Linked DNA regions of Callithrix jacchus. The protein of the gene in region 7 interacts with the protein of the main gene of each other region in a pairwise test. Links are inferred from orthologs where the notes say so. Each region holds a gene or a part of one and is shown on either strand. Other genes may lie near its edges. The genes, in order: CEP70; PNMA1; KRT15; HSD17B14; keratin, type I cuticular Ha8; PNMA2; PSMA1.

What was found.
Region 1: the proteins of PSMA1 (region 7) and CEP70 interact in binary tests that used the Homo sapiens proteins (3 or more experiments, as listed by UniProt). The two-hybrid records come from large-scale screens. The link is inferred for Callithrix jacchus from reciprocal best matches to the Homo sapiens genes PSMA1 and CEP70.
Region 2: the proteins of PSMA1 (region 7) and PNMA1 interact in binary tests that used the Homo sapiens proteins (3 or more experiments, as listed by UniProt). The two-hybrid records come from large-scale screens. The link is inferred for Callithrix jacchus from reciprocal best matches to the Homo sapiens genes PSMA1 and PNMA1.
Region 3: the proteins of PSMA1 (region 7) and KRT15 interact in binary tests that used the Homo sapiens proteins (3 or more experiments, as listed by UniProt). The two-hybrid records come from large-scale screens. The link is inferred for Callithrix jacchus from reciprocal best matches to the Homo sapiens genes PSMA1 and KRT15.
Region 4: the proteins of PSMA1 (region 7) and HSD17B14 interact in binary tests that used the Homo sapiens proteins (3 or more experiments, as listed by UniProt). The two-hybrid records come from large-scale screens. The link is inferred for Callithrix jacchus from reciprocal best matches to the Homo sapiens genes PSMA1 and HSD17B14.
Region 5: the proteins of PSMA1 (region 7) and keratin, type I cuticular Ha8 interact in binary tests that used the Homo sapiens proteins (3 or more experiments, as listed by UniProt). The two-hybrid records come from large-scale screens. The link is inferred for Callithrix jacchus from reciprocal best matches to the Homo sapiens genes PSMA1 and KRT38.
Region 6: the proteins of PSMA1 (region 7) and PNMA2 interact in binary tests that used the Homo sapiens proteins (3 or more experiments, as listed by UniProt). The two-hybrid records come from large-scale screens. The link is inferred for Callithrix jacchus from reciprocal best matches to the Homo sapiens genes PSMA1 and PNMA2.

Annotation. Positions count from the first base shown.
Region 1 is NC_133518.1:45,829,728-45,833,227, reverse strand, and holds part of CEP70 (centrosomal protein of 70 kDa), read right to left. Parts: intron 1,746-3,500; coding exon 1,599-1,745; intron 1,426-1,598; coding exon 1,257-1,425; intron 1,078-1,256; coding exon 963-1,077; intron 1-962.
Region 2 is NC_133509.1:108,629,448-108,633,739, forward strand, and holds PNMA1 (paraneoplastic antigen Ma1), read right to left. Parts: upstream 2,801-4,292; 5' UTR 2,082-2,800; coding exon 1,020-2,081; 3' UTR 250-1,019; downstream 1-249.
Region 3 is NC_133506.1:91,738,016-91,741,966, reverse strand, and holds the start of KRT15 (keratin, type I cytoskeletal 15), read right to left. Parts: upstream 2,801-3,951; 5' UTR 2,710-2,800; coding exon 2,215-2,709; intron 1,099-2,214; coding exon 1,016-1,098; intron 894-1,015; coding exon 737-893; intron 196-736; coding exon 34-195; intron 1-33.
Region 4 is NC_133523.1:42,680,588-42,684,633, forward strand, and holds the start of HSD17B14 (L-fucose dehydrogenase), read right to left. Parts: upstream 2,801-4,046; 5' UTR 2,747-2,800; coding exon 2,659-2,746; intron 2,174-2,658; coding exon 2,135-2,173; intron 1,760-2,134; coding exon 1,677-1,759; intron 31-1,676; coding exon 1-30. Other genes in the region: PLEKHA4 (pleckstrin homology domain-containing family A member 4), read right to left, coding at 3,470-3,732. UniProt on the Homo sapiens protein: Catalyzes the NAD(+)-dependent oxidation of L-fucose, yielding L-fucono-1,5-lactone, which rapidly converts spontaneously to L-fucone-1,4-lactone. Can also act on D-arabinose and L-galactose, with lower catalytic efficiency. Does not use NADPH.
Region 5 is NC_133506.1:91,819,993-91,824,190, reverse strand, and holds the start of keratin, type I cuticular Ha8, read right to left. Parts: upstream 2,801-4,198; 5' UTR 2,739-2,800; coding exon 2,247-2,738; intron 2,055-2,246; coding exon 1,972-2,054; intron 1,184-1,971; coding exon 1,027-1,183; intron 672-1,026; coding exon 510-671; intron 432-509; coding exon 306-431; intron 1-305.
Region 6 is NC_133514.1:15,068,845-15,071,982, forward strand, and holds the end of PNMA2 (paraneoplastic antigen Ma2), read left to right. Parts: coding exon 1-360; 3' UTR 361-2,638; downstream 2,639-3,138.
Region 7 is NC_133511.1:80,384,758-80,388,257, reverse strand, and holds part of PSMA1 (proteasome subunit alpha type-1), read left to right. Parts: intron 1-2,437; coding exon 2,438-2,526; intron 2,527-3,310; coding exon 3,311-3,381; intron 3,382-3,494; coding exon 3,495-3,500. UniProt on the Homo sapiens protein: Component of the 20S core proteasome complex involved in the proteolytic degradation of most intracellular proteins. This complex plays numerous essential roles within the cell by associating with different regulatory particles.

The DNA.
Region 1 (3,500 bases), on a different chromosome or scaffold from region 7:
AGGTTTGAACTTCTCCATATATAATATTTCCTGAGAACAGGATTATGCTGAAGAGTTCCTGACCTTTATAAGCCCTACAATCTATTTTTATTTTTTAAATACTTGGCATTTTCTCGTCCCAAAGGGTGTGAGATTATCTTAGGTTGTCAACTTGTTTAAAAGATGCTATTCCAGGCCGGGTGTGGTGGCTCAAGCCTGTAATCCCAGCACTTTGGGAGGCTGAGGCGGGTGGATCACGAGGTCAAGAGATCGAGACCATCCTGGTCAACATGGTGAAACCCCGTCTCTACTAAAAATACAAAAAATTAGCTGGGCATGGTGGCGCGTGCCTGTAATCCCAGCTACTCGGGATGCTGAGGCAGGAGAATTGCCTGAACCCAGGAGGCAGAGGTTGCGGTGAGCCGAGATCGCGCCATTGCACTCCAGCCTGGGCAACAAGAGCGAAACTCTGTCTCAAAAAAAAAAAAATTGATGCTATTCCAAGGCTGGGCACAGTAGCTCACACCTGTAATCTCAGCACTTTGGGAGGCCAAGGCAGGCAGATCGCTTGAGCCCAGGAGTTTGAGACTGGTCTGGGCAATATGGTGAAAACTTGTCTGTCTCTCTACCTGCACACGTGCACACACACACTCACACACTCACACACACACACACACACTAGCTGGGCATGGTGGTGTGTGCCTACAGTCACAAACACACACAGAGAAAAGATGCTATTCCAAATAGGGAAGGTAAATGAGTTTTGAAAGTCTTTAATTTCACCCCTCCATGAATTCTGGACAATACTTATTTTTTCTTTTATTGTTTAGAGACAGGCTGTCACTATGTTGCCCAGACTGGACTTAAACTCCTGGGCTCAAGTGATCCTCCCACATCAGCATCCCAAGTAGCTGGGACTACAGGTGTGTGCCACCACACCTGGCCATTCTGGATGATACTCTGTAAACTTTTGAAATGAGTACCTCTGGAGGTCTTCAGGTCCTAATACCTGCATAACCTGCTCATTCACATCTTCATTAATCAGCCTACAGAGTTTTCCAACAGTGCTTACCAACACACACAATGAAGATGAACTATCTGCAAAAGAGAAATAAAAGGATATTTCAACAGAAAATTTCCAAAATTACATACATCAAACATTTTATGCTTCAGTTATCCTCAATTTTTTTTACTTAAGAAAAATTTTATCTACTTTTTGTTAATTTATTAAAAACAATTCTTAAATGGGGGCCAAAAATGACAAATTAGGTCATCACCTAATTCTAAGAGTTCTTGGAGGTTTCTCACAGCATTGTTCATTTCTCCAAGCCTAGTATAAACTTCATTCATTCGAGGATAGACTCCATTTAAAGAAGGCACATCAAATAATTTTTGGAAGTGAGAGACAATAGCTTGCAAAGTTTGAAAGTTTGGCATATTGCTGTCCTGTCCAAAAGAGAGGTAAAAAAGAAAGAGTTCATATCTTAAAATAATCCCAAATAAAAACTTTTAAAAGAAAAACAGAACTCTTGTAGAACAAATATTAATATCCACATCAAATTATCAATTTTTAAGATAAGAGTACATTAGAATGTGACCATTTATGTAAGTATTATTACCTTTTCTTTATTTTCAACTTCTTCCAACATAGTATCTACTATAAATAACAAATCTTCAACTTTGATACCTTCATTTGCATCCTGCTTCTTCAGATTATGCCAAGGTACCAGTTCTGCAGATAGTGTTTTCAAGGACTTATACAAATCCTTTATAACAAAAGAAACTATATGGTATTATTGATTTAAATAATTTCTATAGTAATATAACACAATTAATAAAATTATAAGTTTTATGTATTTTATAAAATTAATAAAACATTATATAGGCAGGTTAAAATATATATATATATGTAACCATCATTGGTATTTTTTAATAACACTATTACCAATTTAGAACAAGTCAGTTAAAATTAGGTTTCTCCAGGTAAACATAGGCTTTACAGAAAACATTACATATTGATTATTCTGCATTTGGGTGCTCTAAGTAATTTTATATTATTTATTATTGTTTCATGTTATTTTGTTATTTTGAATTGTTGATACATAAAGAATAAACTTGCCCTTGTATTTTAGTTTTGAATAACAGATTTATTGAAATGTAGTTCAGATACCATAAAATTCACCCTCATTAAGTATACAATTCAGTTTTAATATTTTCACACATGTACAAACATCAGCACTATCTAATTTCAGAACATATCCATTACCCCAAAAAGAAATCTCAGACCCACTCACAGTCCTTCCTTCCTCATTTTTCCTTTCCCACAGCTCCAGGGGATAACCTCTAAACTATTTTCTGTGTCTATGGATTTGCCTATTCTGGCCATTTTGCATAAATGGAATTATACAATAAGCAGTCTTTTATGAATGGCTTCTCTCACTTAGCATAATGTTATAACATGTACCTCCAGGCAGGTTTTCAATGTGAAAGGTTCTCTAAATGTATTCTACTTTACAATACTCTGTTTTCTTGTCCTAGCTGTGATGCCCTAAGTGATTTTAAACTGTGCACAATGGGCAAGGCTACTGGAAGTTTAGCATTCTAGACTGGTCAGTCGACAAATACTTACTGAACCCTAATCCAAAAATCTGAAATGCTCTAAAATCTGAAACTCTGAGCAACATGACACTCAAAAGAAATGCTCATTAGAGCATTCTGAATTTTGGATTTTTGGATCAGGGATGCTCAAATGGCATATACTCCAAAATCTGAAAAAATTCTTAATCTAGCCCCAAGCACTGCAGATAAGGGATACTCAATTCATATATGTATGGAACAGTGCTTAGTCCTTTAGAACAATGCTATCCAAAAGAAATGTAATGTGAGCCACAGTAATTTTAAGTTGTCTAGGGCCATAGTATGAAAAGTGAAAAGAAACATGTGATATTAACTGTAATATTTTATTTAACCCAATATATCCAAAATATTATCATTTCAATATAAAATCAATATTTCAATTTTTCCCATATGAAGTCTTCTAAATCCAGTGTATATTTTATACTTCTAACGCATCTCAATTAGGACTAGCCACCTTTCAAGAGATCAATAACCACATACAGCTAGAGGCTACCATACAAGACAGCACAGCTCTAGAGAACAGAAAGAAGTACAAGAAATTCTTCCTTTTTCGAACTTATTTTAGTACTTCACTTGACACTCTCCACTTAAGGCTCACACTTCACATATTGGTATCTTTAACCTTTCGTTTGGTAGGAAGACAGTTACCTATTTTAGTAATTCACAGCAATACATTCTGTGTCAAATGAATGTTTTACAATCAGTGCCACTAGAATTTGGGAGGAAAAAAAAGTCAGTAAGCAACAGCATAATGACCCCTTTATTAATCAATGCTCCAGCTACAAGGCACATTTATAAAGTAATTTATGGAAAAAAGCACACCCAATCTAATACATTTTTGCTTCAGAATAAAAGAGTATTACAAAGCTAAGAAAAAGATGTTC
Region 2 (4,292 bases), on a different chromosome or scaffold from region 7:
TGGGAGTACTGAGTGGGAGATGGCAGTGAATGTGTAGAGCGTAGGAGGTGGGTGAGTGTGCACCTGATGCTGGTGGGAATGGAGGGGAAAGCTCTGTGAATGATGGGTAGTGGGTGAAGACATGCTGAGTGTCTGTGGTAAGTAAAACATATGGTTTGAGTTAATGACAGTCTTCATAAGAAAAATGGACAGAGTTTACTTAGGCTAAAGATGTTTGTACATGCCAGCAAAAGGAGAAGACAACAGAAATCGAAAAACATTTTTATTTCTGTATGTAACTTCAAATTTAGAACACTCAGAATTAGTATGAACAAGAACTATTTTCTGACAAAGATTTGAAATTGGGGAAGTGAATTACTCTAACAGGTGCACATCAACCTCTCCATGCAATTTACATCTGTATCTTATGCAGTGAAAAATGGGTTACACAGCTCCGTAACTGCAGTTTTTAACATCCCATTTTGCAGTATCAGAATACTTTTCAATTAAACTGATCCACATGTTTAAAGATGAGAAATAGTACGTTTACATTGTAAGGTTGAGTCATAATAAATGCACATTCCCTTCCATTAATAAAATCTGGAACAAGTTATGGTAGACAGAAAACTATCCACAATATCAGTAATCTAACAGTTCACACTTTTACTGAACACTTCCTGTGAGCCAGGCCCCGCAGTAAACATCTGAACATGCAATTTCACATTCAACGTGGAATAGAAGTGTCACAGGTTCACACGTTTTTCACAACTGATTATGATGGCCATGATGACCGCGTGCACTAAGCTCTGTGTCCAACCAGGTAAACGGCATTGTAGCCAGCAAGATCCGCTAGCAGCTCACAGTGCTTGCGTGCACAATTTTAGAATGTTACATGAATACTCAGGCCTGACAAATCCTGCCCTCCAAAAACAAATGTAACAGGACTAAGCCTTTACTACTCAGACACATCTGTAAGACCCCACAGGGACAAGGACAGTAGCTGTGATCTGGGTCTGCACTAAAGCTGCCTTTCCTGGGACTCAGAAGTGCCCTTCCAGGCCTAACTGCAGAAGGGTGGCCTCAGCCTCCTCCTCCTCTTCCTTGGCTTCCTCCTCACGGATCTGCACCAGCAACTCAAAGAGGTTTGGGGCCGGCCCTTCCCCAGCCCCGTTAAGCCACAGCTGCCTTCGGATGGCCCCGCTTTGGTTGGCCCCGGCAATGACCTGCTCTAGACGAGCCTGGTTCACATTATCTTTATCAATGGCCCCCTTCTCCACCACCTTCTGTAGCAGAGGCTCCAAACGAATGACATAAGCAGACAACTTTTCTCCCGGGTTCTGGTAAGTGTTCAGAAATTTGACCTGGGCATCCCTAGAGCTCTCAACGCTCCCAAACACCTGCTCAAGCGCCTGCAGGCATTCGGCAGTAGTTATCGCGGGGTTGTTGGTCTTGAGGATGCGAATGACATCAGCGGCGGGGCCTCTAAGACTCTCCATCAACCGCCGCCTCTTTTCTGCATCTGGCACCTGCCACTCCTCTAGGACCTCATTAGTGTGCTCCAGCCAAGGATCAAAGGTTTCCTCTCCAGGCCCTGGGATGTCCCTCCCCGAGAAAAGTGTCAGCTTCTTGTACCATATGGACTCAACAAGAGGTTGAATAACATTATCCAAAATATAGTTTAGCATCTCTGCTGGCATCTCTGGGACCGGGGTCGGAGTAGGGTTCTGAAACCCAAGGACACGGGCAACATCCTGCACGGTCCAGCCCTCTCTAGCTAGGAAGAGGTGCAATCTTTCTAAAAATTCAGCATCGGAAGTCGGGGGCTTAAAGAACACTTTCCAGACTCCTCCTTTGCCCGGCAACTCCCTGGGGATCGTGGCGTAATCGACAGCGCCAGTGAGCTCTAATAAGGCTGCTTTCGCATTTTCTTCCCTCCAGAACATTCTCCCAAGCACTCGGTAGGGCACCTGGGGCATCGCAGCCTGGAGGGTCTCTTCGATTTCAGCCTCATCACAGTTCACTGGGATGCCCCAGACCAACAGAGCTCTCTGGGAGTTCACATCCATTCCCCTGCACCAGTCTTCCAACAGTATCATCGCCATTTTGTCAACTATCAAGACGCTAATTCTACCAACAGACAGTGGCTCACCTTGCTCCTGGCCTTAGAACAACGCCAGACACTCCCCCCAAGTAGGCCCAAGGGAGGCGAGTTTCACGCAGTCACGATTAACAAAGACACAGAGTCCTGACCTCGCCCTTCCCTGCCCCCACAGTCAGTCAGTGGACGCACTTGGAGACGAGCTCGGAAACGCTGAGGCAGTCACGCAGCCGTCGCCATCTTGCGTCTGGGTCCGGGTCCGGGTCCGGGTCCGCTGCCAGCAGCCGAGGCGTCGCGTCGTCGTGGAGCGGGCAAGGAGCGAAGGCGGGCGGCGAAGGCAGGCGCGATGGGCCGAGAACCGCCGAGGTGTGGTCGTCGGGCGCTCGCGGCGGCTCCCAGAGAGGATCTGGCGTTCGCGGTCGCAGCCCGGTCTTCCGAGGGCGAGGAGAGGTCGTTTGGGAGACCCGGCACAGGCAGACTGTGCCGAAGTCGCGGCGGCTGCGGGCCAGCTGAGAGCGGCTTCTTGGCAGGAGCAGGGACTCTTCCGGGAGGGTGGCGAGGACCGCCGAGGACCAGAAACGAAGGCAACAGAGGAGCAGGAGAGCTGGCGAAGCTGGGCTGGAGACAGCAGAAGAGAGGATGAGCAGCGGCGGCCGCAACGATCTGCACTGCGCTGCTACCCAGACGTAGTGTCCTACCCGCAACCTGCGGCGATGTTACTGCAGCAGTGAAGGGTGGGGCCAGCCCGTGAGCGGCGTCTGCCCCACTCCGTCACGCCCCCGCGGCGGAGCCGCTCGGGTGTCGCCATGGCAACGGCTTCTCAGCCTGCACGAGACTCGTCTGCTCTGGCGGCCCACCGCGGGCGGGGGAGTGGGGGTGGGGCGGAGTCCAGCGGTTACCATGGTGCCCCGGGCACCTGTTTCTCTGATGGCGTAATTTTCTTCTTCTTTTTTTTTTTTTAAACAGAGAACAAAGACTGCTAAGCACCGTATTTTAAAAATAACCCAATCCTGGAGTGGACTTAAGATGATATTGTTGGAAATGCATCCCTCATGGTGGACTCATCTCAGATTGCTCAGCCAGTCCACCCTGCACGTGAGAATATCCTCAGAACCGTAGCTTCCCTGTTCCCCCAACCACACTCTGCACCCTGCATATTTCATCCCAACGCAGCCAAAATGTCGGCGTGTGCCATTTACGTATATTTTTGTAAGATACGGAGTTGCCTTTTTCTTGTCTAAAATTTTGTAAAAAAGATGTTTGTCTATGTCTACTCAGTCATCTTTTAGCCAGGTAAACATTAATATGTTATTTCCCTTTTCCTGGCTGGCATCATTGACAATAGGCTGCTAAAAGAGAATCCGTATGGTTCGAAAATGTTGAGTAATCTTTGTGCAAGCAAGACAAGACCCACTTACATCAATCCCAGATGGTGAAAATCCCAGAGAACACAGCATGCAACTCTGAATTTTTAAAACCTTATTTAATAAAAGGTTTAAAGATACAGAAGAACATTCAAAAGTAAATAAGTTACATAGGTACATTACAATCACATCAGCAAGATTCTTTAGTGTATTAATTTTTTTCTTATAAAAAGCACACAAAAAATAAAATCTTCAGTCTCTATCACAACTGTACAGCAAAAGAGGTAATATTTATATATATATGTACACTATTTTAATATGTAACAGTCTTTTTAAAAAAGGGTGCCACAGGCAGCAAACACAAAAAAGGCAGTGTCTGATCATTTGTTTCAAAATAAAAGGAATATACTTATTTATATGCTATTAAAATATTTGTACAATAATTACAGACTGTCAAGGCTGTTCCTGTGCTGTCCCTTCCAACAAGGCCTTCAACTTAGAGACAAATGAGGAAAAAGTGAAACAGCTGCAAATTGTTAGAGGCAAATATTAACATAGCAAAATGTGGGGAGGACACAATTGTTTTATAAAAATATGCCTACTTCCTGTAAACCTATGGAGTTAGGCTTGCCAGTCTGATAATATATACCATCCCAGAAAAGCGAGCCCCAGTGAAAACAACTAAACAGCTGAGGCTTGAGTATGTGTTGTATTCCTCCTTCGTCTTAACATCTGGCACATGAGAAGAAAGAGGATAGGTCACTGAGGCAGTTAAATATAGGCGATCCCTTTAGACATAAGCAGCAAAAGACTTGGTGCCGGGGTGGAGAGGGGCGAGGCAGAAGGGGTAG
Region 3 (3,951 bases), on a different chromosome or scaffold from region 7:
GGCAGGGCAGGGCAGGGCAAGGGTCAGGCCCACCTTGCTGAAGAACCAGGCCTCAGCATCCTGGCGGTTCTTCTCCGCTATGGCCTCGTACTGCTCCCGCATCTCCGCCAGCACGCGGGTCAGGTCCACGCCCGGTGCCGCGTCCATCTCCACGTTGACCTGGCCGGCCAGCTGGTTGCTAAACTCCTTCATCTCCTGCAGGGTGGAAGGGGCCCATTTAGAGATGGAGAACAGAAGAGAGACCTGAGAGTCTGCATTCCCACATGCCAATCCTGGCTCTTCCCCTAACACCCCAACCGCTGTTCCCCATTGCACACGAAGAGGTTTGGTCTCATGGACCCCTCAGCTCCGAGGAGCTCTCTGCTGCTCTAGGTCCTACCAAGGGAGGACCCCGAGATGGCAGGCCCCTGATGTGAGCTCACAAAGCCAGTCAGGAAGATAGCCATTCATACTAGCCACCCGGCTTGGCTGTGGTCTGGGCTACTAGGGAACAGTGCCCCTTCCTCTCCATGAGGATACCTGGTTGGGGGCAAGGGGGGTGTTTCTGAACCACTAAGCCCCAGGCCAACTATGAGGAAGCACCGGCAGCCCCACTCTGCCTCCCACAACTTAATCTTGGGAAAATCTGGGAGGGCTTCCTGGAGCCAAAGTCGTTCCCTCTGGGCAATTTAAGTGCGTTTTGGGAAGAGGTTCCCCACCTCTCTCAGGTTCAGGGATGATGGGGGCCACCTCTCACCTCCTCGTGGTTCCTCTTCAGGTAGGCCAGCTCCTCATTCAGGCCCTCGATCTGCATCTCCAGGTCAGTTCTGGCCAGGGTCAGCTCATCCAGCACGCGGCGCAGGCCATTGATGTCAGCCTCCACGCCCTGGCGCAGGGCCAGCTCATTCTCATACCTGAGAGGAGAGAGGGAGGCCAAAAAAGGAAGTGGGAGGGGTCTGGGCCGCCTGAGTCAGAGCCAGGAGAAGACCAAGGAAAGTGGGCAATGCAGGAAGAGTTGAGGGAGGAGGGAGCGCACTTGAGCCTGAAGTCGTCCGCAGCCAGCCTGGCGTTGTCGATTTCCAGGATGACCCGGGAGTTGTCAATGGTGGTGGCCATGATCTGCAGGAGACAGAGTTGGTGCCTAGAGGACTCCTCTCTCTCCCCTGCTGCTCTCTGCTCTGCACCCAAAGCCAGCCCCTCACTAACAGTCACCACCAGCAAACATCTGTAGGGCCTCTGGGGTGGGCAGAGTCCAGCCTCATCTTGAGTGTCCATTTCTTGTTCTGCCACATGCCAGCCTCCTTGAGACACCTGAGGAGCTGCCCTCCTTGTCTCCAGGGCATGAAAGACCAAGGAGGCAGTACTGCCTATGGGAATTGGTAGCCCCAGAGAGTGAAGAGTGAGGTGTAGTCAGCTCTGACAATGACCCTCTCAGAGACACTCCACCAGCCCCCCCGTGGACCAAGTCATGGCCACTGCCTCCTGCACACCTTGACACAGCCATGGATCTGCAGAACATTCCAGCCAGTGGCAACCTAGAGGGCAGCTAAAGAAGGCATTTTGCCAATGAGGAACCCAGTCTCAGGGAGTAAAACGGTGAGTGAGTGGGTGGCAGAATGGGTAATGGGTTCCCAGGTCTCTGAAGCCCAACAGTACTTTTAGCACAAAAGCCCTCTTTACAGGAAAACACAAGAGGCATCTGGGACTCATGAGGCTGCACTCCAATCCTTTTCTTGCCAAAGAGATAAAGAAATACTTTATGCAGAAGCCTGCAGCGTACATGAGGTAGGCAGGGTGAGTTGCTCGTTTTAATTATTATTATTATTATTTTTTAATTAGAGACAGGTTCTCACTCTGTAGCTAGGCCAGAGTGCAATGGCACAGCCACAGCTCACTGAGACTCTAACTCCTGGGCACAAACAATCCTGTCACCTTGGCCTCCAAAGCACTGGGATTACAGGTGTGAGCCACTGCACCCGGCAAGCTGCTCTTTACAATTGCCCCCAACTGTGCCCCCGTTGGTCCTAACCAGATTCCCAAGACCCCTCCCTCCCTCCCCCAACACCAGCCTCTGCACTGGACAGCAGGTGCATTCCAAATTTGCTGAGGCTACACACCAGACAGTCGTTGCCTGGGCAGGAAAGGATTTTCTCGAGTCAGCAGCGACACTGACGTTAGAGGCATGTGCAGGGCGCCAGCCACCTGCTCCCCTCTCTTTGACATCTGAGGACTCACCTTGTCCCGGAGCTCTTCAATGGTCTTGAAGTAGTGGCTGTAGTCACGTTCTGGGCTGGTCGGGGCCTGCTTCTGGTACCAGTCCCGGATCTTCACCTCCAGGTCAGCATTGGCCTCCTCCAGGGCACGAACCTTGTCCAGGTAGGAGGCTAGGCGGTCGTTGAGGTTCTGCATGGTGATCTTCTCATTGCCAGAGAGGAGGCCACCATCGCCACCACCAAAGCCACCACCAAAACCCCCACCAATGCCACCTCCAAAGCCTCCACTGAAACCACTACCAGCCCCTCCGCCAAAGCCACTGCTCATGCCACCCCCATATGCCCCTCCTGACCCTGAAGAGACAAACCTAGCAGAAGAAGCTGAGATACTTCGGCTTCCACCTCTCCCATAGAGACTCCCCCCACCAAAGCCCCCTCCCCTCGCCAGGAGGGAACCCCCTTGGATAGAGCCACCCCCAAACATGGAGGAAGAAGTTTGCAGAAATGTGGTGGTCATGGCCAGGTAGCCAGTGCCAGTGAGTTCTCAACAAGCCCAAGAGATGCTGGCAGGAGGTGCCGGGCCAGGCTGCACTCAGAGCAGGGCATCTGCCACCCCCCAGCTGGGGCTCCTTATATACCCCTCTAAGGGTATTGTGGGACCTGGTCTCCTCCCCCAAAGCAAAGCCAACTCCTTCTGCCTTCCTGACAAACACAGCTGCCTGCACACCCTGAGTGGCTCCTGTGAAGTTTTTCTCTTCTGTTTTTTTTCTAATGCAACAAAAGAGATGATTCAGAATTAATGGTGTTTTCCCCCAGGGCACCGTTTTAACACTTGGATTACAGGTTCATCTCTCCATGCCAGAAGAGAGCAACAGGGAGCGAACGGCTACCAAGGCCTCTGCCTGTACAGAGAGCAGCTCAGGCCAACTGTGCCCTCAGCTGGACTTGTCCACTGCCCCGAGCCCTGAGCTTTTCCCCAAGGGGACAGCTCTGTGTTCTCAGTTTGGGAGTTACCACTTCCCAATCATTACGCTGTGTTATCCAACTCGAAATCCTGTGAGTGAGTGAGTGAGTGAGTGAGTGAGTGAGTGAGTGAGTGAGTGAGGAGGCCTCTGGGAATGGGAATGCAGCGTCTCTGGGGGCAAGTAGAGGACAGAAGCCAGGGTCCAGCTGAAGTGACCAGAGGAGCCAGCATTTGTCCCTTCCCTGGTGTGGGAGAGGGACTCTCCTCCTCCCACCCCTACTCCCCTCCTGCCAGCCTCCAGCCTGTGTCCCTGGCACGCTCACAAAAGCCCAGCAGGCTCAGGGTTGACAAGGGGATGATTGATGATCCCGACACCTGCCAGCTGCACGTCGCTGAACTTTTGCTCGATTCTGGGATGCGTTGGGGCAAACCTCCGCTGATAAGGCTGGGGCGAGTTCCAGGAAGCCCCTGCCTTCTCCAAGAGAGGCATGTCACTGCTTAGCAGGGCCAGATTAGCCCCCATCTGTCCTGTCAAGTGCTGGCTGGGGAGGAGCCACTGCAGAAGGCTCTATGTACCTGAGTGCTGTGGAAGGAAGGACAAGAGGCTGGCAGGCAGGCTGGAAGACACTGGAGATCTCAAAGACCAAGGCATCACTTCACACAGATGGGGGAGTTGAACACTCAGGAGAGCCCTTTTCTCTGCCACCAGCTCAGGAAAACCTTTCCAGGGACACCTGATACCTGTGGGCAATGCCACTTGGAGGTGTGGCTCGGCCCTCTGGACCTGGCCCCATG
Region 4 (4,046 bases), on a different chromosome or scaffold from region 7:
AAATCGGCGGATGGTCTCAGAAACCAGAGTCTGAGGAGGAAGGAAATTTTCTTTGATTTTTTCATTTTCTTGTTTTCTGTTTTTTGGTTTTGTTTTTTTTTTTTCCTCATTGCTCAGGCTGGAGTGCAGTGGCACGATCTTGGTTCACTGCAACCTCTGCCTCCCAGGTTCAAGTGATTCTCCTGCATCAGCCTCCTGAGTAGCTGCGACTACAGGTGGGCATCACCACAGCTGGCTAATTTTTTATATTTTTTAGTAGAGAGGGGGTGTCACCATGTTGGCCAGGCTGGTCTCGAACTCCTGACCTCAGGTGATCTGCCCACCTCAACCTCCCAAAGTGCTGGAATTACAGGCGCCACACCTTACCCAGGAAATGTCCTTTGAATGAGCAGTAGATGAGGTGTCCAGCCATAAGGCAGACAGGGCTGCCAAATGCAAGGCAGGAGGGGAAAGCTGGACTCCCAGCTCAGGGGACAAGAGCTAGAGGAAGAGGGAGTGCCGAGATCAGCAGACATGGCAGGCGAGTAGCAGACAGGAAGGAGACAGGGAGCTGGTCAGAGCCACAGTGCAGTCATCATTCCAAGGTCAGGGGGTGGGGGTTGACAAGGGTTCAGATAGAGAGTAGGAGACAGTTACCCAAGTGGGGCAGGAAACAGAGAGATACTGATTGAAAGGAAGAAATAGGGGCCGGGCACAGTGGCCCACACCTGTAATCCCAGCACTTTGGGAGGCTGATGTGGGTGGATCACCTGAGGTCAGGAGTTCGAGACTAACCTGGCCAACATGGTGAAACACTGTTGCTACTAAAAATACAAAAATTAGCTAGCTGTGGTGGCTGGCGCCTGTAATCCCAGCTTCTTGGGAGGGTGAGACAGGAGAATGGCTTGAACCCAGGAGGTGCAAGTTGCAGTGAACCGAGATGGCACCCCTACACTCCAGCCTGGGCAACAAAGAGCAAAACTCCCTCTCAAAAAAAAAAAAAAAGAAAGAAAATGAAAAGGAGGAAATCGGAACCCAGAAACAGAAACAAGGGAGAAAAATCGGTTACAGGCCAGGTGCGGTGGTTCACACCTGGAATTCCAACCCAGGAGGAGTTGGGAGCCTGGAATCCTGGGTCTGAGGGAGGAGGGGCTGGGGGCCCTTTGGGAGGCAGAGGTGAGCAGATTACCTGAGGTCAGGAGTTTGAGACTAGCCTGGCCAATATGGTGAAACCTTGTCTCTACTAAATATATAAAAATAAGCTGGGCATGGTGGCAAGCGCCTGCAATCCCAGCTACTTGGGAGGCTGAGGCAGGAGAATCTCTTGAACCCGGGAGGTGGAAGTTGCAGTGAATTGATATCACACCATTGCACTCCAGCCTGGGTGACATCTCCAAAAAAACAAAAGAGAAAGAAAAATCCGTTACAGTTGACCCACTTTGAGGGACTTTTTATTCATTTCCATTCACATGTCAGATGTGCTAAGAGCCTTGGAGAGGTGGGAGATGAGGAACACATGACCTGCTTGCCAATCACGGAAGACCTATGTGTGGAGTGACACTAGGTGGAAACCTCTGATGGGTCCAGTGGAGCCAGGAGAGGAAGGAAAAGGAGAGGGAACGGCATATGCGGATGCCTGGAGAACAAAGAACTGGCAATTAGTGGAGGCGTGGAGCAGGAGCAGGAACTGTGCTCACCCTCACGTCGTCTTCCCGAGTCACGTCACAAAGGATAAAGACAGCTCCAGGGAGCTCCCGCTCCAGCGCCCGGCCCCCAGACTCTGCAGTGAGAGAAGAGCTGGGAGCCTGGACCCCTGGGTCTGAGGCAGAAGGGGCTGGGGGCCTGGACCCCTGAATCTGAGGGAGGAGGGGCTAGGGGTCTGGACCCCTGGGTCTGAGGGAGGAGGGGCTGGGGGCCTGGACCCCTGAATCTGAGGGAAGAGGGGCTAGAGGTCTGGACCCCTGGGTCTGAGGGAGGAGGGGCTGGGGCCTGGACCCCTGAATCTGAGGGATGAGGGGCTGGGGCCAGGACTCCTGGGTCTGAGGGAGGAGGGGCTGGAGGCCTGGACCCCCTGAATCTGAGGGAGCAGCTGGGGCCTGGACCCCTGGGTCTGAGGGAAGAGGGCCGGGGTGAGGGCTGAGGGACCATCACTCACCATCCTTGTCGCAAACAACCACTTGGGCCCCGCTGTCCACTGAGAATAGGAAGGGAACAGGTGACCCTCCGAGCCTTGGGTCAAGCCTCTGCCGCCCTCTGGTGGCCACCTGGAGTGGGGTCGCTCTCCCTCTCCCCTCTCCTCGTGACCCCAGTCTCATGATCACCCTCAGGACAGAGGGCAGAGGGCAGAGCCCTTGACACATGCTCTCCCTGCCTGGCCAGGTTTCTGCTGAGGCTCCTGAGCCCCCGTTCGTGGGTTCCAGAGCCAGCCCCACGACTGCCAGAGCCATTCCCCAAGCCACTGGTATTGCAGCTTCACTAACAGACCCAGAGAAAGGGGGCCACTGCCCTCCGAGACCTCGCCAGACTCAGCCCCAGCCTACCGCGGCACGCGCTTACTTTAGCCTGCAAATGGGCTTTTGTAAGGTCAGAATCCCAGCTGTATTACTGGGGTCTCCATTTTCCGCCGCCATTGCCCAGCCCCCATCCTTCCCCAGCTCCCAGCGGCCAGACCCCGCTCACCGAACGCGCGGACGATCCCGGCTCCGATGCCGCGCGCGCCCCCGGTCACAACCACCACCTTCCCGGCGTAGCGCGTTCCCGTGGCCATCCCGTGTCCGTCGGTCTCTGTCCGTCTCTCTACTCTGCGCCTCTGTCTACCTCCAAAGCCCCGTGACAGCGTTGCATCAAACCATCAACAGGGGCTGGATCCTGGAAGTCCGGCCCCGGGGGGTGTTGCCAGGAAGGCTGGAAACCTGGGTTTGTCCCCAGTCCCTCCTCCCTCAGACACTCGCCTCCTCCCCCAGACTCAGGAATCCAGGAGCTCCAGGCCCTCCTTCCTCAGACACTCCCCTCCTCCCTCAGACTCAGGAATCCAGGAGCTCCAGTCCCTCCTCCCTCAGACACTCCCCTCCTCCCTAAGACCCCAGTCCCTCCTCCCTCAGATTCAGGGGGTCCAGGCCCCCAGCCCCTCCTCCCTCAGACTGAGGGATCAGCTTCTCCATCCCTTCCTCTCAGAGACCTGTAAGTCCAAGGCCCCTGTCCCCTCCTCTCTCAGGACCCAGGAGTCCACAACTCCGGCTCTGCCCATCAGAGACTCCAGCGCCACAACCCCCAACAGAGAGAAACAAAGTTATTGACTACAAGTTCAAAGTTTTAATCCAAATTTAGACAGTGTTGAGAAAACCAAACTTTGGCCATAGAAACCATTCCCGTCCCGGGCTGGCGACAGGGACCAGACCACGCCCCCTGATGCCCTGAGTGGTCCCACATCTCTGCGGCGGTACCTCCGGTCACGTCCTCACGCTCCAATTGGCTGCCGCATTTGGGAGGGTTAAAAGCTGGACTGTAGAAGAGTGACGCGCAAAGGCCACGCCCCCTCGTCTTGGGGCAGGACCGGAGGGGCGATCCCGGCATCCCACGTGGGCCCCCAGGGGGCGGGGCCTCCTCCACGCCCACTGCCTCCGCGAAAGAACCCGGTGGAAGCCGAATTAGCCACCGGGGGAGATCTGGGGGGAAGGGTCTCCTGGCGCGTGGGGTCCGACGGAGAGAGCGGCACACGTGAGAGAGGGTCTCCCTGGGAGTCCAAATTTCCACCTGGAGAGGATGAGTAGGACATGAGAATGGCAAACTTCAGCACCGGGACTCCGGATTCCCAGGCCCCTCCTCCCTCAGACCCGGGAGTCCAGGCCTCCGGCCCCTCCTCCTTCAGACCCAGGAGTCTGGATACCTCAGTCCAGTCCTCTTTGAGACTCAGGTGTCGGCCCTCTCCCCGCCCCCGACCGCTTCCTCCCCTCCTCTCAAGTGTCCCAGAACCCAGTTCCCTCTTGAATGAGACCTAAAACTCCCAAACCCTGCCCAACTCTTTCCTCGCCAAGATAAAAAATTCCCACCGGCCCCCAGACCCCTCC
Region 5 (4,198 bases), on a different chromosome or scaffold from region 7:
CTGCCCCCAAAATTTAATTGGCTTCACGTTATTCATCTCTATATTTGCAATACCCCCAAAAAAATTAGAACTCAGTAAATTTTGGTGCATTTAATGCCTTTTCTTAAATATGTTTTAAAAGAGAGATTGTTTTGTTAAGCTGTGTTTCTGAATTTGACCTGATCTTTACAATAAAGACAAAAAAGAAATTCACAATCAACGAGTTTGCAGATGGGAGAAACCTAGATAGTGAGACCTACAAAATTAAATGCTATCAGGCCGTGGCACGTGGCGTTTGCAGTGCAGTGAGGGTGAAGGACACGTACCAAGGTGTGCTGGGCTTGGCGCTCCACCTCCAGGGCGTTCACCGTGCATCTCAGCTCCAGGATCTCCGACTGGCAGCACTGAATCTCCTCAGAGCAGGACATGGCCTGCAGGCTGATGCCTTCAGACTGGAGCACAGAGAGGCACAGTCACCTCCCTGCCCAGATGGAGGCCAGATGTCCCCCGGCTCTGTACCCCCTGCTCACCTGGGCTTGGAACCACTGCTCCGCGTCCTGGCGGTTGGTCTCCACCATGGCCTCGTACTGAGCCCGCATCTCCCCCAGCACCCTGCTCAGGTCAATGGTGGGCTCAATGTCCAGCTCGATCCGGATCTTGTCCCCTAGCTGACTCCTCAGAGTCTTTACTTCCTGCAGAAGGGAGGAAGGCACAGACAGTTTGTGTGAGGAGAGGGCCTTTGATGGAGCAGACAGCACCAGGACCCCACCCCTGGCAAGCAGTAGGAGGGGAGCCCCATACACAAGCAAATGGGAAAGTCTTGCCCAGAGTGCAGTCGGGAGAGCCCACCTGGATGCCTTCCTTGTGCCCAAGGCAAGTCTGCACCTTCCACAGAGGCCCTCTGAACCCTCAGACCCACCTCAGCCCTGCATGCTGATGCCAGCTGAGCCCAGGTTCTGCTCTGAGAGCCCCAGGGCCAGGGAGCTCCCCTATCTGCCCAGCACTGCCCGCCCCCCACACCAGGAGTCTGAGCGGCCAGGGCTGTACCTGCTCATGGTTGCTCTTGAGAGAGAGCTGCTCTTCCTTCAGGGACTCCTGCTGGGCCTCCAGGTCGGCCTTGGCCAGGGTCGCATCATCCAGGAGCTTCTGCGTACCACACATGTCCGCCTCCACCAGCTGACGCAGGGAGCGCTCACTCTCCAGCCTTCAGTCACAGGAGGTGCAGGGTCAACAAGAATTCCACCAAGAGCCCCTCTCGGCTGCCCCGGGTTCCCACCTCCCACACCACCTTGGATCCTCATTTGTTCACTCTGTTTAGCTCTCTGGCCTCAAAGGTGAATTAGACACAGCCCCTCTTCTCAAAGAGCTGGTGGTCTGATGAAACAATCACAGCACTACATTGCACAATATACATTTTTGCCATTGTATTCTGTGGCAGCTGCGGTTCACTAAGATCAACTGAGTTGCCTAAGATCGTGTGTCTTGGGACCCAGTCCAATGCTCATTCCATTGCAGTGGCCGTCAGTTACCAAAGATAAGCAATAGCCAGGTGCCCGGTTGTGATCCACAGCTCCTTATCCCTTGCTTTCAACTGTCTTCCCCTCTGGTTTTTTCCTAAGTATCTCATACCTAGTACCCTAGGACTGCATAGTTAAATCTGGACGAAGACTCATCTATGACTCCTCTGACTTATATATGAAAATGAATGGCTGTCTTGCTCAGTTTATCCTTGAAATCACCTCATTTTGCTCCTGGCTAATGAATTTAGGCTGCCTCCATGTTAGGGAAATAAATGAAGGAGGAAAAACATACATGGTTGGATTAATGAAGGGTTTTCCCTTCCATCTTCTATCCATTTTGATTGTAATGAAACTTTTACTGGGGAGAATCTAGCAAGGGAGAAAGGACAATGATTCACTCACTCAACAAGTATTTGGGCATTGGGATGGAGGATGGGGAAGGAGTCATCCTGGCCTCCTGCACCGGACTTACTTGATCCTAAAGTCATCGGCAGCCAGCTTGGCATTGTCGATTTGTACAATCAGCCTGGCGTTCTCAGCCTTGCTGCACAGGATCTGAGGAAAACAGGAAGATGGTTCACACACAAAGCATCGTACCTTAGGCTCCCACTCCACGTGTGGTGTCTATGCTCATATCCAAGAGAAGCCAAGAACCCAAAGCTCCCTGAGCCTGACATGGATTCCTCCTGCCATGAGAAGCCGTCTGGCTTCTCAGACCCAGCACGCCCAGGCGTTCCCACACCTCACCTTCTGCTGGAGCTCCTCGATGGTGCGGAAGTAGGACTGGTAGTCGGGGCACACGGTGGACTCGTGGCACTTGCTCCTCTCACGGAGTTGGCTCTCTAGCTCCGCGTTGTCCCGCTCCAGCTGTCGCACCTTCTCCAGGTAGTTGGCCAGGCGGTCATTCAGGAACTGCATGGTCTCCTTCTCATGGCCATTCAGGGTGTTTTCACCATAGGCCCCACAGATTCCGATGTTGCCGGGAATGTGGCAGGTCCCTGGCAAGGGACAAGCAGTGTGGCAGGTGGGGGGTAGACAGAGACTGGGGCGGCCCAGGGGAGTCGACCCCACACGGACTCGGTTGGCATGTGCCACATTGGCCAAGAGGCACATGGAGGCAGCCTTGGCCTCTGCCCCGGGCTGGCACCCAATGTCGATGGGAGAGACGGAGGCATTTCTTGCTCCAGGACCCATGGTGCAGCCCAGAAGGCAGGAGGAGCTGCTGTAGGAGGAGGTCATGGTGTTGGGCTGAGGTTGCACAGGAGCTTCAGATCAGCTGGAAAGGCCAAGTCACTAAGTCTGAAGCCTCTTCTCCTCCCGGCCCTTTTATACCCCATCCCGGGTGGGTGTTGGCTCCAATGCTTTGACCTCCTGCCTTGATTATCTGTTGTGGTGCCATCATCCTGTTACTCAGCTGCTGAGTTTACCATGAAACGTTTCTCAGCTCATTAAAGGAATGTTGACGAATCTGAGATGCCTCTTGGCTCTTTGATATCAGGTTGGCTTTTGGTGGGGGGAGTCAGAAGCTTTTTATTATTTTTTAAAGAAACCAAGTTATTTTAGCCATCAGATGCTTAGACTTTGACAGGGTTTGGCCTCTTCATGGATTTGTCCACTCCAAAGGCACAAATTTTCCTGTTGGTCAGTGGCGTAGCAGGACTAACCCCTGTGATGACAGTGGTGCTCACTTGGGTTAAGACTCAACCAGCCTTCCCTATCCAGGGAAGAAACTGAGTCTTGGTATTGGTGAATGTTATGGTGTTAAATTGGGTTATCAAGACATCCTACATTTCTTCTTTCTTTAGTTGGTTGCCCTTCAGACTCACTTTGAGGAGCAACAAGACTTAGACAAATCTGTTCACAACACACATCCCCTGGTTACATCCTGAATGCCAGGCACTGTGCTGATGCTTGGCATATAGTTGGTTAAGCACGGAACAGTTCCTGCCGTTGGGAAACAACTGTAACTTGTGTAGACATGATGTCTCAAACAAGGCATCTGAGAAGCTCGTGAGAATGAGGATGACTCCGAAAACTGTCATTTATCTTGACCAAACAGGGCAAGCTCAAGAAGCCAGAAACAAACAAAAAGAAATGAGCAGTAATCTTACTGAACCTCAAATAAGGACGTGGCCATGAAAGTAGGAGGAAGTTGCGTGATCGGGATGTTGAGTGGGCCCTCTTCACGCCTTGCCTCCTTGGTTCTAAAGTTAGTTATGAACCTTCACCCTATGTGCTAGGGGATTGAGCAATGACACCTTTTCATCTCTGCTTCCAACCTGGGAGGTGGGTACTCTTAATTTTACAACATAAATAAATAAGCCATTGAGACCAGAGATGTAAAGTCGTTTTTCTAAGATCAACCTCACTATAAAGTATGAAGCCCTGGGGTATATGTGCAGATCGTGCAGGTTTGTTATGTAGGTATACACGCCCCATGGTGGCAGTTTGCTGCATCCATCACCCTGTCATCTCCTAATGCTATCCCTCCTCAATCCCCCCACCCCCTGCTATTCCTCCCCTAGCCCTCCACCCTCCCAGGCCCCAGTGGGTGATGCTCCCCTCCCCCGTGTCCATGTGTTCTCATTGTTCAACACCCACTTGTGAGTGAGAACATGTGGTGTTTGGTTTTCTGTTCCTATGTCAGTTTGCTGAGAATGAACTTAAAGTATAATAAATAAATTTTTTAAAAATACAAG
Region 6 (3,138 bases), on a different chromosome or scaffold from region 7:
AGCCGCAGGACCTCCCAGGTGAGGTACCTGAAGACCTATCAGGAGGAAGGAGAGAAGGTGTCGGCCTATGTGTTAAGGTTAGAAACCCTGCTCCGGAGAGCGGTGGAGAAACGCGCCATCCCGCGGCGCATCGCGGACCAGGTCCGCCTGGAGCAGGTCCTGGCTGGGGCCACTCTTAACCAGACGCTGTGGTGTCGGCTCAGGGAGATGAAGGATCAGGGCCCACCCCCCAGCTTCCTTGAGCTAATGAAGGTAATACGGGAAGAGGAGGAGGAAGAGGCCTCCTTTCAGAATGAGAATATCGAAGAGCCAGAGGTAGGAGATGGCTATGGCCGCTGGGATCATGAGGGGGAGGACTGAAAACCACCTGAGTGCAGGACCCACAGCCAGTGGGCCCAGGGACATGCGCCTTACTAGGCTAAGACTTTTAAAGAATCTTTTTCTTTAATGTATGGGACTGATATCAAGGCATGAAACCCAATTATTGACCTTCCTTCCTTCCTTTTTTTCTTCCTTCTTTCTTTCCTTCCTTCCTTTTTTCTCTTCCTTCCTTCCTTCCTTCCTTCCTTCCCTCCCTTCCTTCCCTCCCTTCCTTCCCTCCCTTCCTTCCCTCCTTCCCTCCTTCATATTTTTCTTTTTTCTGTCTTTCTTTCTTGGGTCTCACTCTCATTACCCAGGCTGGAGTGCAGACACACAACAATCTTGGCTCCCTGCAGCCTTGACTGCCCAGGCTCAGGCTCAGGTGCTCCTCACACCTTAGCCTCCCAAGTAGCTGGGACTACAGGCATGCACCACCATGCCTAGCTTTTTTTTTTTTTTTTTTTTCTGTATTTTTAGTAGAGACAGGGTTTTACTATGTTGCTCAGGCTGGTCTGGAACACCTAGGCTCAAGCGATATGCCCAGCTCAGCCTCCCAAAGTGCTAGGATTACAGGCCTGAGCCACCATGCCCAGCCCCTGATTTTTCTTTTTTAAAAAAATATAGCTACGAGTTTCTTAGACTCTATGTAGATTATTAATGAACAAGAGATTAGACTCCAAATATTAGATAGTAAATCTGAAGGAATCTGAAACACTTGTACTTCCAATTTTCTTTAAGTAATCCCAAGTAGACTAGAGTTGGCCCATACCATACATAGAAGAAAGAATTGGCAGTCAAAAACAAACAAACAAAAAAAACCTTTTGTAATTATGTTTGAAAAATAAAGCTATTTGACTTTGTCAGCTGTTTTCCTTTCTCAAATCAGCAAATTCTGAGTCCAGAAATTCTCTCTCTGTACGAGGAGTTACAAGACTACAGCTCTAACCTGCAGTCGAGCAGTTATAAACCTACAAAATGGGCCCTGCCCTCAGAGTGGTTCCAGTCTACATGAGAAGATGGTCTAGACAGGTCAGGTGTCAGATAGATGGTCCCAGAACTAGGTGCTGTGTCAGGCCCTGAAGACACAGATGACTCAACCTAAGCTCTGCTTTCAAGAAGTCCCCAGCCTTGGAAAAATACAAAATAATTTTTGTATTTTTAGTAGAAACTGGGTTTCACCGTGTTGGCCAGGCTGGTCTTGAACTCCTGACCTCAAGTGATCCACTCACCTCAGCCTCCCAAAGCGCTGGGATTACAGGCATGAGCCCCTGCACCCAGCCTAAAGTCTTTGACTTTCTAGTGAATAACAGCTAGATTAAAATGGGCTGATAACCAAATTTGGGCACATTAGCATTCACCACCAGGTTTGCTTTTGTTTCCAGATTGGCTCATTTTGTGTAGACCTTGGAGCAAAGCTTCCTTCATGGTATCTGTGTACGTATCCAAACTTCTTTTAACTGTTCATAGATTTAAAAGTAGTGGCACCACGTGGGTGTTTAGATGAGACCTGTGTATGTCATGTATCACGTAAGTGTGTGAGTGCAGTGCAGAGGCGCACCATTCAGTTATACGTGCTAGGCGAAGCTCCAACACAATGGACGTATAGTCTCGTGGTAGATTTGCGCATACTGCGAGTAAATTGCTTAGCTTATCTAGATAGACGTCAGTTTCCGCCTCTGAAAAATTAGAAGATGAGAGTACACAGTTGTTAGGAGGATCAGATGACTCAATGCTTTTTAATCACTTCGCATGACATCTGGAACACAGAAAGCCCTCAGTACATTGACACTAAGATTTCCGTGATGTTCCTATCTGCTCAATGCATGCCTTCTTTATTGTTCCAACAGTTGTGTGCTAACAAGTTAATATGCTCCCAGTTGACTCCCAGGCTACCTTGGTGTTAGAAACCATTTCTGCTCTTACTGTAAATGTGAGCTTGTTGTTTTTATATTTGTGATGAGTCTTCCAGCAGCTGTTGACAATTGTTAGAGGTTTGACTTTTAAATAGTCACTTATTTTTTCTGATTGTGGTTTGGTTTATCTAAAGAATATCCTGACATTGTAAGAAAAGCATTTTTTAAAAGGTATCATTTGTGATCAATTATCTTTCTAAATTGTAGTTTTAATACTGTCTGACCAAAGTGATACAGTTGTTACCGTGACACTCTGATTTCATGTGTTTTTGTATTTATGAAAGTGGTCTCTTGTCATTTCTTGACAGTATACAAAGTAAAATGTTATAAATGTGAAGTTATAAAATAAATATATCCTAATAGAATCCTGAGTTTTTCTGATTCGTAAATCGTGGCCTGTACAAACTACTACTTGAAGAAGGAGCTCCATCACTGAAAATTTTTGAGAGATAAGTTGAAAAATCAAGCTAAAGCCAAATGTCTTGAACTCCCCTAGGCAAGAAAACCTGAAAGCAAAAAAATGATTGAGTAAGACAAGAGAGAGCTCAGTCCCCCATTATTGATTTCTCTTTTAAAATAGATAGAAACAACAGAGGGAGGCCAGGTCTCTCAGAGACTGCCAACTCATTTGCTTAGGAAAATAACTGTACAGATAAATTCCCAGGCTCTATTCCGCTTAGGGTGAATGACCCTTAAGGCAGAATATTGCTTTTCTAGGCTGAAGTCCCTCCCTTTTTTTCCCTGTTTTTTTTTTTTTTTTTTTTTTTTTTGAGATAAGGTGTCACCCAGGCTAGAGTGTAGTCACACGATCATGGCTCACTGCAAATTGCCTACCAAATTTGAGTGATTCTTAGGCCTCAGCCTC
Region 7 (3,500 bases):
TTTTACAAGTCACTCAGTAATATATTTGTTAATGCAGTGTATATTGTTTGATACCATATTATGTCTAAGAAGAGCTTGATACTTTTATCTGGTTTCTAAGGACAAGCTGAACCGTACTTGTTTTTTTTAATACATCAGTATTTAGTAGACATTTTTTTTTTTTTTTTGCAATGCTCAATACTGGATATTGCAGGGTATGCATAAGTGACTCAGAAATGGATCTTGTCTAAAGGAACTTAAAGGCAAGTTTATCTATAAATTCAAATCTAGTTTATAACAGATAAATTTCTGTGAGAGTCTGAGGAGACAGATTATGGTTGAAAGGCAATCCGTAAATGAAGAGGTAGGGCTTTGAAATCAGACAGATTGAGTTCTCGCTTTCACCACTTAGTATCAGATTGGGCTAAATACCTAAACACTGAATTTTTTTCCAGTGTTTTCTTTATCAAAGCTATTTTAAAATACTTTTTTATTTATTTATTTTTTTTGTGACAGAGTCTTACTCTGTTGCCCACACTGGAGTGCAGTGGCACAGTCTTGGCTCACTGCAACCTCTGCCTCCCAGGTTCAAGTGATTCTTCTGCCTAGCCTCCCAAGTAACTGGGATTACAGGCGCCTGCCACCACGCCTGGCTAATTTTTGTATTTTTTAGTTGAGACATGATTTTACCATGTTGGCTGGGCTAGTCTTGAACTCCTGACCTCAGGTGATCCACCCACCTTGGCTTCCCAAAGTGCTGAGATTATAGGGGTGAGCCACTGCACCCAGCCTATTTTTAATTATTTTAAATAGCCTACTGTAAAGCATTAACACAGTGCTTTTCAGGTATTATGTGAGTGTGTTGTGGGTGGCAGGTAGTTAGCCAAAACCAATCTCTTAAATTTGTGAATTTGATTAGGAAAGAAATAATATAAATTATAAGGGTGGGCCTGGCACAGTGGCTCATACCTGTAATCCCAGCTCTTTGAGAAGCTTAGGGCCAGGAACTTGAGACCAGGGTAATGTAGCGAATCTCCATCTCTACAAAAAATTTTAAAACTTAGCTGGTTGTGGGGCCGCGTACCTGTTGCTCTTAGCTATTCAAAAGGCTAAGGTGAGAGGATTGGGTGAGTCCATAACTTTGAGGTTGCAGTGAGCTATGATAGTGCTACTGTACTTAAGCCTAGGCGATAGAGTGAGACTTTAGTCTAAAACAACAGCAGCAGCAAAAGCAGTGTAAATAGTGATGCCATTGTTTAAGAATTTAAAGTTACTCAACCAGTCCCTTGCTCTAAGTTAGCAATATAATGACACCCTAAAGGGTTTCCACCTACTCCTCAAAGTGGAAAATGTATTATATTATCAAACACTTTATTTAACCCAGTTTATAAAGTATTGCCATGCCAACACATAATCAACATGAAAACTTCATTCATGAGCTATTGCACGTTCTTAGGTACTAAGTCTTTGAAACTTGACATGCTATTTTGTACTTGGAGTACATCTCAATTCAGTATAGCTACTTTTCAAGGGCTCCACAGCCACATGCAATTATTGCCTGCCATATTGGGCAGTATACTTTTAGACAGTGTTGGGAAATGGACTTAAATATAAATACTGAACAAATAGCTTGGTTCCTGTAGTCAACATGTGATGATCAGATGTGATGTACACATATGCTGGACAAAGCAACATTGAAAGAAAGGGGCATATTCATTTCTTGTTGATCTTTATAGGCATGAATTCTCTTTTCCCCAATGGTAACCTTGCTTGAATTTCATCAGATTTAATGGTGAGACTCAGCGGCTAGTGTCCAGTATCTCCTCTAGAGTGCTTCTTATGAATATAAGTAACAGTGGCAGGTACATGTAAAGATGCCCTCTGCTGTGATTTCTATTTTTTACAGTTGCTCTATTGGGGAAATGTTAGTCTGCTTTCAAGAAAAAAGGACAGAGTAGATACTCTATGCTGGTTTAAGACCTAGAATTAAGACAAACTTGTTGACAGTGGTAAGGATAAGAGAAGAGGGATTACTCTTTTTCTCTTGTTCAACCTTCTCTTCTCTGTTCTGTAAGTGCTTTAAGACAAATATTTCCTAGAGCTAAAAAATATTTCAGTGTTTTTTAAAAACCTTGCCAGGCGTGGTGGCTTATGCCTGTAATCCCAGCCCTTTAGGAGTTAGAGGTGGGTAGATCACAAGGTCAGGAGATCGAGACCGTCCTGGCCAACATGGTGAAACCCCATCTCAAAAACAAACAACAACAACAAAAAACTTTATGTGGCTCCAGAGTTTGACACAAAAATGTGCCCCCGCAGGCATGTCTTTCTTACCTTCTGTCTTCATTATATGGTTGTGATCCATGTAAACGCTTGGAAGAATGCAAAGTGAAATCAAACAATTTAGATTGGAATCGTTGTTTGTAATTTGAGATTACTAAACTTTTTTTGTTTCTTTCAGTAATTTTATGCGTCAGGAGTGTTTGGATTCCAGATTTGTATTTGATAGACCACTTCCTGTGTCACGTCTTGTATCTCTAATTGGAAGCAGTATCCTTTTTATGTTAATATTTATGGATATGAACTTTGAAGCGTTTTGATATTTGTGTTAATTATCATAGGAATATGATAATAACATGACATAGGTAAGATTGTGAAAACTTTAAAACAATTTGGGTAGCTCTTTCATTAGCCTGTATAAGCAATTTATATTTGCTAGACATAAATAAACCCAACTTCAGGGAAATTATCCAAGCATCTTTTTAGAGGGGATTTAAAGTTTCTCAATGGTTCTAGATGTCCCAAGAAATCCCAAGTTTTACCTGGGAAGAATTATTTTGCTGGCACTCTTAGATTTGGTAGAAAGGCAAACATTTTATATTAGGCCAAAGATAGAGAATCCTATTTTATTCTTTCTCTGGTGGATTATGCAACAATTAAGGAAGAAGCCAGAAACCTTTGTTAATAATGTATACTTTGAAAATAAAGATAGTATAGGCCGGGCACAGTGGCTCAAGCCTGTAATCCCAGCACTTTAGGAGGCTGAGGCAGACAGATCACCTGAGGTCAGGAACTCGAGACCAGCCTGACCAACATAGAGAAATCCCCTCGCTACTAAAAATACCAAAAAGGCATGGTGGCACATGCCTTTAATCCCAGCTACTCAATAGGCTGAGGCAGGAGAATTGCTTGAACCCAGGAGGTGGAGGTTGCAGTGAGCAAAGATCGTGCCAGCCTGGGCAACAAAAGTGAAACTCCACCCCGTCCCCACCAAAAAAAAAGAAAGTAAAGAATAGTTCATTCCTTGTTAAAACAAGCTCTTAACTAGTCTAAGAGACCCAGATACCAACACAACGATATGGCCGGAGACCTTATGGTGTTGGGCTGCTTATTGCTGGTTATGATGTAAGTTCATTGATTATTATATTTTAATGATTTTTTTAACTAACTAGAAATTTTTATAATTTTTAGCTCAACCAAAGTAAATAATTATGTGGTGTATTTATTTCTGTTTGTAGGATATG